Linked DNA regions of Caenorhabditis elegans. The protein of the gene in region 1 purifies or fractionates together with the protein of each later gene. This does not show direct contact. Each region holds a gene or a part of one and is shown on either strand. Other genes may lie near its edges.

Region 1 (4,864 bases):
GTCTTGCATGCAAGACTAATAGAGAAAATACGGTATTTTAAATATAATAAGCATTTCTTTCAGGTCATTGATTCAATGGCATCGTTAGTCGACCTGTACACCATGGACTCCCGCGGGCTCCACGAAAGTATGTTTTTTTTTCTAATTGATCTGAAAAAAAATTGATGTTGTATTCTTACGATAAATTTTATTTCGTTTTCTAAAACTCACTCATAAGTGAGTAAAAATCGATAGAAGTTATAAGATAGCGAAAATCCGAGCTTCAATCAATTTTTTTTTTCAGTTTGCGACTTGGCTACACCTTTCTTCCAACTTCTTGCCCATCCACGCATTTCGATGGAGGTCAAGTTATTGATTAACAGACTCAAAGGAGTATTATTGACTCGTGATGCAGCGATTCTTCAGTTGATAATTCAGGTTTACGAGAATATTGCCGAGGTGAGCTTACATAGCCATTCTTTCTCGAACCGTCTAATTTTCAGGGCGATCAAGAGGCTGAGGAAGCCGACGAGCGAGTGAAAGCGTTGCTGGCTGAACGCTTCGGGAATGACATTTAATTAACAAAAATTTGCAAATACTATTATTTTACTTCTTTTGGAATGTACTGTAAATTTATCTGGATTATTTTAACGATAAACAACATCTCACTATGTAAACCAAGTGATTACAAAAAATTAGAAACTTAAAGTTGCCATTGAACCAGTCCAAATGACTTGGGTTTGACCAAAATTGATATCAGTCGTCCATTACTTGAGATATCAAGCCATTCTTCACAATTGATAATTTTTTCGAGAGTTTCTCTGAAAAAAAACGAGTCTACAGATTAGTTCCCCAACAAATCACCCACTCGTTGCAATAATCTATGGGTCGTGTGGCAGGATCCCATGGTTTTGCATTAACTTCTTGATAAATGTTTTCCACGTTCAATTGGTAGCCGGGAGCTAAAGAAAAGGTCATTGTTTGGATGTTTTGAAAATTTATGTCCGTTGTCCATTGGTGCAACCAGTGCATAACTTGTTCAGACGAAATAAATGCATTTTTGGCGCTTAAATGACGCCCCTTGAATCGAGGGATTACACTGTCAGCCATTAAACATGAACTACCAAGAAACAATCTCTTGATTGAGAACAAACCACATTCATCTTTAAGTTCACCATCTATCTGTGGATACAACGACAAACTGCCTAAGTTCGGCCATGTCGAAAAGATTTGATCTAGAAAGGTGATTGGGATTGTATCTAGCTTAACCATTTCACTTAGAATAATGTGGTTGACATTTCGAATATTTGAGAAATGGTGAATCTTTTGTTGACTCATTCCTTGCTTCCAAAAAAATATTATATTTGATTTGAGATGTGTTTGGTGGAGGTTCAAAATCGTGTTTCGAAGCATTTCGTGAACTACTTTTAAGGTTGATCCATTGAAATAAAATTTGATTATACTGCTGGCTTCATGGCACGGAGTTGCGCTGAAATGCAAAATTAAAATTATTTACTGTGCTGGCCACAAACGGGGCTTCGTGAATTTTGGACTGTGTTAAATTAACCATAACTTAAAAGCTAATCATTATTTTCGAAAACGGTCAACTAACAAAACGTTGGTCATTATGTTGTTGACATTGCCTGACCGATATTATTTTACAAAAACTGCCCTGAAAAACGGTACAGCGACAGACATCTGGCTGGTCGATTTTTGACCTCGAATCTGAAATCGTCTGTAACTCAAGAAAAAATCGCTTCCATGAGAATAATTGAATTAATAACATGATCTTCATAAACATTTATGCCCTATGCATATAATAACTTTGTCCTCAACCCGCCGGGAAGTGAATGATATACAACTAAGCCTATATATTCCAAACTGTTGTGGATCATATTTCATAAAAATGATAGGACTTTTCAGAGTATTGTTTTCAGGCGTGAAACGACCTACATAACTATGATAAATTATTGATTCTTCAAAAAAACAAATGAATAATCAAAAGCAATCATTATTTTCGAAAACCGGCAACTAACACAATGTTGGCCATTATGTTGTTGACATTTCCTGACCAATATTATTTTACAAAAACTGCCTTGCAAAACATTACAGCGGCAAACATATGGCGGGTCGGTTTTTAACCTTGAATCTGAAATTGTCTGTAACTCGATAAAAATTGCTTCCATGAAAATAATTGTATTAATGAAATAATTTTTACTAAAGATGGAAGCGATTTTTTCTTGAGCTACAGACGATTTCAGTCAAAAATCGACTAGCCAGATGTCTGTCGCTGTACTGTTTTACAAGGCAATTTTTGTAAAATAATACTTATCAGACAATTTGAACAACATAATGACCAGCATTTTGTTAGTTGACAGTTTTCGAAAACAACGTTTAGTTTTTCAATTATGGCCATTCAAACAAAGCCAAAAAAAAAAACGAAAAACCGTTTGTGCATATCTTTTTGGCCAGCATTGTATTTACAGTAAGACTTTTGTATTACATGTGTAATATGGACATATTGGATACCCTATACTTACAGTCTTTCGGTCAGAACTTTTCAAAGTACAGTTTTTGAAAATTTTGATTGAGCTCGGCTGCGCTTAAGAGAACTCAAAAACGCTGATAATCAGGCTAGTATATTTTCAAAACGTAAGGAACTGACCAGTAAACCATTGTTTGTCCAATTTTCAATTTAAACCACTTTTCTTGCTGAATAATGTCTTCTCTTGACGCTTCTCTAATTAAAAACGATAAGTGTTCACTTAAATTATTAATGTCCTTCATTTGCATGACGTAAGAACGTTCAACGGATAAATTCGAACACGAATGGATCATCGACGAGTATCCTTTTTTTATTGATTTTCTGGCCAACGTTTCAGTTTTGGAAGAGCAAAATGAAAAGTTAAGCACGTCGATGAAGCTCATTTCCTGAGGAATTTGCCTACGGATCACAAGTGGAAAGGTGAAGAGGTTGAAGGGCATTCTGAAAAAAAAAACTATATACATTATGTAATAAGAGGAAATGGTAAGCAGCAACTTATAGAGAAAAGAGAAAATTCAATACAAAAGTAATTGTTTTTTTTTGAAAAAAAAAATTGTGCATAGTGATAGCGATAGTGCAGGATTAATTATCAATAGAATTGTATAAGTGCCAGGCTCATAAAAAACAGCGATTGAAAATAAAGCCATTGAGTACAGAGCAAAACCGATTAAAGCCTCGATGTTTTATTCATCTTGATTTGAACTTCAACATTTTCGGGGAAAAAAACGATAAAGCACCATGAATATAACATTCATACAACATTTGGTGGTACCTAAAAACTTCAAAAATATGGAGCTGTGTGCTGGCCAACCGAGGGGTCAACCATGTGACGTATTGCGTCTTCCCACCGATGCAGTCTCCCGCTGGTCTATGGAATTGCGGGAGGCGTCAACTTGCAGGACCAATTTTTCGCTGAAAACGGTTAAAGGTGGAGTAGCGCCAGTGGGGGAATTGCTTTAAAACATGCCTATGGTACCACAATGACCAAATATCATAGTAAAAATTAAAAAAAAAATTTCTAAATTTTATATGATTTTTTGAAAATTGAAAAAATCTCGAATTGCATCAAATTCCTATTTGAATTACCGCCAATAGTTCGATGTTCGATGGAGCGCGCTTGCATTATTTTAAATTTAAAATTTCGAATCTAAATCTTTGAAATAGATTATTTCAGGCTCAACGTCGTTGAAAAACGTGATATCTCTGTTTTCAATTATTTTTAGTGAACAATCTACATTTATCTTGAATTTTTCGATAAATCTCCAGTAAAATTACTCAAAAAAAAACATGAAAAATCAATTAAAAATAAGAAAAATTAATAAATAAAAGTTAAAATAATGCAAGCGCGCTCCATCGAACATCGAACTATTGGCGGTAATTCAAATAGGAATTTGATCATTGTGGTACCATAGGCATGTTTTAAAGCAATTTCCCCACTGGCGCTACTCCACCTTTAACTAGCAACATGTATAGATTCTTCTTATGAAATCTAATTTGCAAAAATTAGAGCGGTCTGATGGACTAGATTTTCTGAGCACTTTTTTTTTACGAGTCTACTGTTCAACAGAGTGAAATTTAGAATTGAAAGCTTAATAACTGCCGAGAGTTTATAGGGCCCCAGGCCCTATAAACTCTGACTAGATCTTGCCTACCTGTTTTTTTAGACAAAACACCATCTGTCCTAAATAACCGTACCACCCTTTTGCTCAGCGAAATGACCCCAGCTGCAAATGCGCCCTAATTTCCAGCCAATATAAAATCGATATAATCTCAGTGGGGTCTTGCTGTGCCATTCTCGTCGTTACACCTGCACACTATGTTAAATTCAAAACCAGTAAGCTACCAAGTATTGAAGTTCATATTGAAGCATTTGGATCCAAGTTTGAGGTGAGTATTTTGGCTTGGAAAAGTTACGTATTTAGAGGGTTGAGTTTTGAGAATGACGGAGTTTTCGGAGTTGAAATTTTTGGGTATAGAGGAAATTCATCCAAATCACAGCTCACATTATGTTTCAAGCTTTTTGCTCAAGTGCCACACAATTTTTTAATACATAGCTAAACCTACCTAACTATAAGTATATTTCAGAATCCAACTCTGCCTCGTCTGCCCTTCAATTCATACCTTAGAAAAATCAACCCCTTCCTACATCCACTATCTCAAGATAACAGATAACAGCGTGACAGTTAACCGGGTAACCTGTCAAATTACAGTTACCGATAGAAAAGTTGATTATCAATTTGATATCAATCAATTCCCAAGTATCAGTGGTACAGTCGAACTAAGGAATAGTAGAAATAATCTGACCAAAACTATGAAGTACCTTCTCGACAAACTCTTTAA
Region 2 (3,118 bases), on another chromosome or scaffold:
TCCTCGAACAATTCTGTACGAGGCCTTTTCGGAGAGATACCAGGTGTTTCCGTTTCGAATTCTACGGCTTCTGGGAACTGGAAGATGACGCAAGAAGCATTTTTCCATAACTGAATTGAAAGTTGACACTTGCTCATTGGACCTAAATTTGAATCGAATTTTTAAAAGCATTTCTTCAATGTGATTTTCCTACCATAAGTCACGAAATTCAATTTCCACGTGGGTTTTATCGTGGTGTTCAGAAATATGTTCACATGGTGATTTCGACACAGGAAGAGTTCTCAAACAGTGGACACACTCATAGCGTTTTGCTATGTCTACATTGAGAAATTCCGATTCTGGGTGGGCGTCTAGAACATGTTCAGTCTGTTTCCTAATTTTTGTATTTCGGTTTCTACCGGTTTCCACTTCATGCTTGCACAGCTGAAAATTGTAGTTGAATCTGACGCAATTGTCGGGGTCTCACCGAACAATATGCCATATCAAGTTGATCTTCCTTTCCGTTTTCAACGATTATCGAGTCATTTGGTGTTTCAGCATCCATTGAGTTTACCATAAACAATTGCGGAATATCTGTTATCAGCGAAATATTAAAAATTAAATGAACGAACTCTTACTGTTTACAATGTTCTCTGATTCGTGATCATCCAAAACTGCATCTTCCTCGATGTTAGTTGGCTCGAGCAAAAGTTTCAACGCATCCGAGTTTTCGGCGAAAGTTCCGCGCTGAAATACTTTTTATTATTTTCGAACAATATTCGAGTTATTCAATCCTTACCGCCCATTTCTCTAATATTTCTTGGTTTGAAGACATCTGAATGGCGGGTTGGTTTGCTTCCGAAAACGGATCAACCGATTTCTGTTCCTCGGCTGTTTCTCGAAAATTAAAAGTTCCACTGTCCAATTTATCCAAATATTCTTTCATTTCTTCCGGAGTTGACGAGAAAATGTGATTCAAGTGATTGTTCGTCTAAAAATATGAATTAGGAAGAATAATTAAAGAAAAAACTCACCAAATAGCGACGAAGCTTTCGTGCAGCATTAATTTGTTCGATGTTATCATCGATACTCACAAGTACAAACCGTTTTCGCAATGATTTCGGCATTGTTATAAAAAGAGAGACAAGTTTGAATTGAGTTCGAATTCGTTCGCGAACGAACGTTCGTGGTCGACAAACTACGGTACGCTGGAGTACGCAATGAGATACGCAAACACGCTCGCGCATTTTTTTGACTTTTGTAATGCGCGCGCGCGCCACGGCCCGGCAAGTGGTACATCTATGCAAATGCGCTCTACTGATAATTTGAGTGTAGACCAGGTTTGGGCGCGTGATAATGAAAAAAGCTTTGGTCCAAAAAATTTAGAATTTAATTTCGGACATTATTTATATGCATCACAAAAAAACTGGACCAACCGTTTTTGAGATACACGCGCCCAAACGTCCAGGTATACGGTAGACAAATTGCGTACAGGTACCACTTCTCGGGCCGCGCGCGCGCAAAAATGTCCCGTGGATTTTTCATTTCACCAATTCTCGAAGTTGAGGCTGAAAAATAGTTGCAAAGTTCCCATTTTGTCATGTTTTTTTTAAATATAACGCGACCCGTTCACTGAATATGGGATTTAACGTCACTTTGCATGCGTTCCACAACGCAAATTCTTTTGTGTATTGCTAACTTTTCTCATCAATGTTGTTCTCTGTTCTTCTAATAATTTAATTCGCCTCATTCGCTTCTCATTTCATGCACTTTTGTCATAGTTAACTACAGATGGCCGCGAATAGTCTTCCTCAAGATATTTCCGATGTGGAACTAGTTCATTTGGCCCGAGCTGCGATGAAACGGGCACATTGCCCATACAGCAAGTTTCCAGTTGGTGCAGCGCTTCTCACTGAATCTGGGGAAATTGTCCAGGGTAATTTGTGATTTCTTGTCGTTGCATAACTCGAGATGTCTGCGGGCTTCTCAGTTTCGCAACATGCATTTTTGAAGTTTCTAGCATTTTCTGTAGGCTGCAATGTCGAGAATGCTTCATACGGTGGCACTATCTGCGCTGAGCGTAGTGCTATTGTTTCTGCTGTGTCACAAGGATACACGAAATTCCGTGCCATTGCTGTCGTCACTGAGCTCAGCGAACCTGCGTCTCCCTGTGGACTTTGCCGTCAATTTCTAGTTGAATTCGGTGACTATAAAGTAAGAAAACTAGAGCTTCTTAATTTTTCACTGTCATCGTTGCAGGTTGTTGTGGGAACTGCATCTAACAATAAAATTCTCATCACCTCAACTCGCGCTCTTCTTCCATTTGCTTTCACTCCTGAATCGCTCGACACTTTTGAGCAAGAAAAAGCATCAGAAGCTAAAGGATTAAAGCAAGATGATGCCACGGAGCATAACGTTACAGTCGTCTCTTAATTTTTTATTCCAATCAGAAACTCCTTTCCACATTTCCCGCCATTCCTAGTAGTGTTTTTTTTCATTTGTGATATCCTTCTCTTTCTTTCAATTTAGTTGTGTCAAAAATTCATTTTATTAATAAAACTTTTCAGAATGGCGGCCTGTGGAAACCCAAGCGCGGCGGTCAAATTTGAGAGGCTTCCAACATTCGCCGAACCAACTCATTACAACGTCCGTTTATCGCCATGCCTCAACCAGTAAGTTCTGTAATAATATTTCAGTTTAGCTAGGACGGCAGTAATAAATGTTGATATGTAGTTTAAATTTGCAACAAAACCACTTCAAGTTCTAATTCTTGTTTTTCAGATTCTCTTTCGATGGTCATGCAACGATTGACGTCACAATCAAAGAAGCTACTGATGTCTTGAAGGTGCATGCACAGAGTTTGCTGATTCAGTCGGTATCGCTTATCACTCAGCCAGGAGACGCTTCTAAATCTCTCGAAACTAGCTACGACGATAAGCTCAATATTTTGACTATCAAGCTTCCGACTACCATGCAGCCACAGAAGGTTCAGCTCGACTTCAAGTTTGTCGGTGAACTGAACGATAAGATGCGAGGATTTTATCGCAGTCAGTACAAGGATAAGAACGGCACCGAAAAGTTCTTGGCTTCAACTCAGTTTGAGTCGACTTATGCTCGCTATGCATTCCCATGTTTCGAT
Region 3 (3,878 bases), on another chromosome or scaffold:
TCCTGATGCTTTTCGGTTACTATTGTGACGTAGAAGACACGTGGAAACCCGAGGAAATCAGCAAACAGATTCGTAAAATTGTCGAGACGACTTCTCCCTCGTATAATGGAAAATTGTTGATTTTAAAAGGTAGAAATTCTGCTAAAACTTTGAAAAAGGCAGAAAAAACCCACGATTTTCTAATTTTGAAAACAAAAAATGAACAATTCAAGTTCACTTTTTGAAATTCCGCAAAGAATTAAAAATTCTGATTTCAAATCTGGAAATTGAGCTGATAAAGTAATTTTTTACCTTTTTTTTTCGGAACAAATTTCAAATTTTAAACAACTTTAAAATGTAAAAAATCATGCAAAAATCGTGATTTTCAATCAAAACCTATTTTAATCTTTACAGCTTTTGAAATTTTTCTGAAAAATTAAAAAAATCCGGTAAAATCTAGAAAAAACTAATTATATACTGTTTTTTCGGCTCAAAAATTTAATAATTCCAGTGAAATTCTAAAAATTTTTCAAATTTTCAGATCAAACAGTTCGAGCACAATGCGTTTTTCTTTGTGTCTGGAGACTTGTGCAGAATAAAGAGTCAGATGGACCACTTTTGGCGCCAAAAACTTCGTATCGAAACGTTTTTCTAGGTATTTTTTAAAATTTATCTCGGAATTTTCGATTTTTCGAATTTTTAAAAATTGAAAAACGAAAAATTTTTCGATTTTTTGAATTTCCGAAAAATTAAGAAAATGTTCAGAAAATTAACCATAAAATATGATTTTTTTTAAATCTAATTTTCGATTATATTGATGAGAAAAAACATGAAAATTTTAAGCTTATTTTTTAAAAATCTATTTTCTCCGTAATTTCAGAATTCAAAAAACTCGTTAATCAACACTATCCTCCACTGAACGTGAGCAGTGATGTCTACGTATTCCGAGAATTGGATCATCTCGTTAAAATGGGAATTTTGAAGGCAGACGAGAGCACAAATGTGACAAATACCTCGTTTCGGTGGGTTTTTTTTTCAGCTGAAAAATTCACCTCAAATCCTCTTTTTTTTCAGAAAAGTTTGGCTTCATATCAATGATAAAATTGTGGAGGACTCGATCTCGAAGTTGCAGCTCCCGCGAGTTGTTTCCGACTTTTTTATGACTATTTTGAAGTAATTTTGATATTTTTTGTACTATTTGCAATGAAGATTGATCTCGATATTTATATTTTTGTTGAGTTTTTTTTTCTGTGAGAATTATTTTCGGTTTAAAAACCATCATATTATTTTTTGAACTTGTTTTATAAAAATCTTTACAGGAGCTTCAAAAATCGAAAAAATAAAATAAAACCATTTTTCGTTAATTCAAAAATCCCGAAATAAAATATTTAGTTAAATTTTCATGTTTTAGGGGAAATTCGACAAAAAAAGGAACTCACTGAAATTTTTGAAAAACCGTTCAAATTTACAAATTTTTTCGTTTTTGAGTTTTTGAGTTTTTTGATTTTCGACTTACATTTTCTCCGCAGAAATTTTTCAGTGTTTTTGACGAAAAAATATCGAAAAACGAAAAAAGAAGTGAAAACTTTTAATTTATCAAAAATTATGTATATTCCTATATTGATAGATATGGAAAATTAGAAATTTTTCCAAAAGTCGAAAAACTCAATTTTATTTCCAAAAAAGCGGCATTTTTTCGAAAATTTTACAGAACGACCTATCGTTGTTCCCACAGCTTTTATTTAAAATTTGTGCTAAACTATAAAAAATCACAATATTATTCAGAAAATAATTTTTTTTTCATCAGAATTATTGAAAATTCGATTTTTGGTCCTAAAAAAATTACTTTATGACAAAAAAAATTAATTTCTCCGAATTTCAGATGTCCCACGAGTACGATACAGTTGCACCGCCAAATGCGAAGCGCATGAAGACGGATAATCAATTGGAGGACAAGAAGATTTTGTACGTTGTACTGGAAGGATGTAGTCTTGAAACTGCAAAAGTCGGTGGAGAATACGCAATTTTGAGCAGTGATAAACACGCGAATTTTCTGAGAAAACAGAAAAAAGATCCGGCTGATTATCGGCCAGATATCCTACATCAATGCTTGTTGAATCTACTTGATAGTCCGCTTAACAGAGCCGGAAAGCTTCGTGTCTTCTTTAGAACGAGCAAGAATGTGCTCGTTGATGTCTCACCACAGTGCAGAATTCCAAGAACTTTTGATCGATTCTGTGGACTTATGGGTGAGTTTTTGGTTTATTGGAAATTGAAAAAAATATATTTTGAAGTGTTTTTGTATGTAAAATAAGAAAAAAGACAATTTTTCGAGTTTTTTAAAAATTATTTTTTATCAAATTTAAACATAAATTTTTAAAAATACCCTTTTCCTTTTAAAAATACCCGGATTCAAAATACCCCAAAATAGTCTGAAAATCAAAAAAAAATTCACAAAAAAGAGCACAAAAATCCAATTTTCAAAAACATGCTTTAAAATACTTTTTATTGGATTTTTTGTGACTTTTCTTGCAATTAGGTATTTTTATGCAAAATCCCCCTATTTTCTATTTTCCATATTTTCAGTCCAACTCCTGCACAAACTCTCCATTCGAGCCGCCGAAACCACTCAAAAGCTGATGTCAGTAGTGAAGAATCCAGTGTCGAACCATCTTCCAGTGGGATCCCGTAAGATGCTCATGTCGTTCAATGTACCTGAGCTAACAATGGCTAATAAGCTTGTTGCACCGGAAACCGACGAGCCTCTGGTCCTTATTATCGGTGGAATTGCTCGTGGAAAGATCGTCGTCGATTACAACGATTCTGAGACCAAGATCAGCAATTATCCATTGAGTGCAGCGTTGACTTGTGCCAAAGTGACCAGTGGACTTGAGGAGATTTGGGGAATTATTTAATTGATTTTTTGCAGTTTTTTCATTTTATTGTTGTCTGTTTTTGTTACTATCTTCATCTTATAAAGTGCAAAATCACTTTTTTTTTTCGAAAAAAAATGCCGTTTTTTTGTAAATTTCAATGTCTATTTCTTACTTTTACACTGAAATTGTTTTAAAAAAATCAAATATTCTAAAAACCCAAAAAATTAGTTTTTTCTTTGATTTTCCTTTCGTAGAGTTCTCTTTTTTTTTTATTTTTTCAGTTTTATTAGGTAGTAATTTAAAACGTTTTAAAATTTTACAATATTTGGCATAAAATTCGGCAAAAACTTTTTTTTTTCAGAAAAATTCTAAATAAAAAAGTCCAGGAGCCTAACTTTTCAGTTTTTACCAATTTTTCAGACAAAATCGAAGAATAATCGTGAAAAATGCGATTTTTTCGCTAAAAATACGGTAGCTGGTATCGAAGCGACAATTTTTTTAGTTGCAGAAGGATGTGCGCCTTTAAAGAGTACTGTAGTTTTAAACTTTCGTTGTTGCGGAATTTTTATTGATTTTTTGTAGTTTTTCGATAAATTATCGATTAAAAAAAAAAGATAAACTCAAATAAAAAATTAAAAAATACAAGAAAACTGTAAAATATTATAAATTTCAACATAACTGGAGAAAAACTGTAAAAAAATTTGAAAAAAAAAAACAATTTTCATATTTTCTCTCCAGTTCTGATAGAATTTCTGACATTTTAAACTTTTTTTTTTACTTTTTATCATAAAAACTATGGCAAATTAAGGAAAATTCTGCAGAAATGAAATTTGGAAATTACAGTACTCTTTAAAGGCGCACAATATTTGGCATAAAAAATCTTCGCTTCGAGACCAGGTACAGTAGTTTTGACACCGAAAACGGGCCATTTTTTCAAAAAATAAATGAAAATTAAGACTTAAAATTCATTTTTGTTCCGAAAAATGTACTTTTTTTCAGTTAAATATCATTAAAAATTATTAA

The links.
Region 2: the proteins of C32B5.15 (region 1) and cdd-2 fractionate together in Caenorhabditis elegans (co-fractionation; one large-scale study listed by BioGRID). This does not show direct contact.
Region 3: the proteins of C32B5.15 (region 1) and emg-1 fractionate together in Caenorhabditis elegans (co-fractionation; one large-scale study listed by BioGRID). This does not show direct contact.

Annotation. Positions count from the first base shown.
Region 1 is NC_003280.10:969,963-974,826, forward strand, and holds C32B5.15 (F-box domain-containing protein), read right to left. Parts: upstream 2,989-4,864; coding exon 2,645-2,988; intron 1,469-2,644; coding exon 848-1,468; intron 801-847; coding exon 683-800; 3' UTR 581-682; downstream 1-580. Other genes in the region: C32B5.6 (Resolvase/invertase-type recombinase catalytic domain-containing protein), read left to right, coding at 64-127, 284-438, 483-557; fbxc-14 (F-box domain-containing protein), read left to right, coding at 4,341-4,411, 4,610-4,864.
Region 2 is NC_003282.8:7,546,546-7,549,663, reverse strand, and holds cdd-2 (Cytidine deaminase), read left to right. Parts: upstream 1-1,770; coding exon 1,771-1,915; intron 1,916-2,011; coding exon 2,012-2,193; intron 2,194-2,238; coding exon 2,239-2,412; 3' UTR 2,413-2,546; downstream 2,547-3,118. Other genes in the region: oef-1 (C2H2-type domain-containing protein), read right to left, coding at 1-142, 194-423, 467-573, 618-726, 779-970, 1,014-1,106; pam-1 (Puromycin-sensitive aminopeptidase), read left to right, coding at 2,547-2,651, 2,761-3,118.
Region 3 is NC_003281.10:10,647,658-10,651,535, forward strand, and holds emg-1 (Ribosomal RNA small subunit methyltransferase nep-1), read left to right. Parts: upstream 1-1,861; coding exon 1,862-2,228; intron 2,229-2,565; coding exon 2,566-2,894; 3' UTR 2,895-3,251; downstream 3,252-3,878. Other genes in the region: orc-4 (ORC (Origin Recognition Complex) subunit), read left to right, coding at 1-129, 521-634, 860-1,001, 1,054-1,156.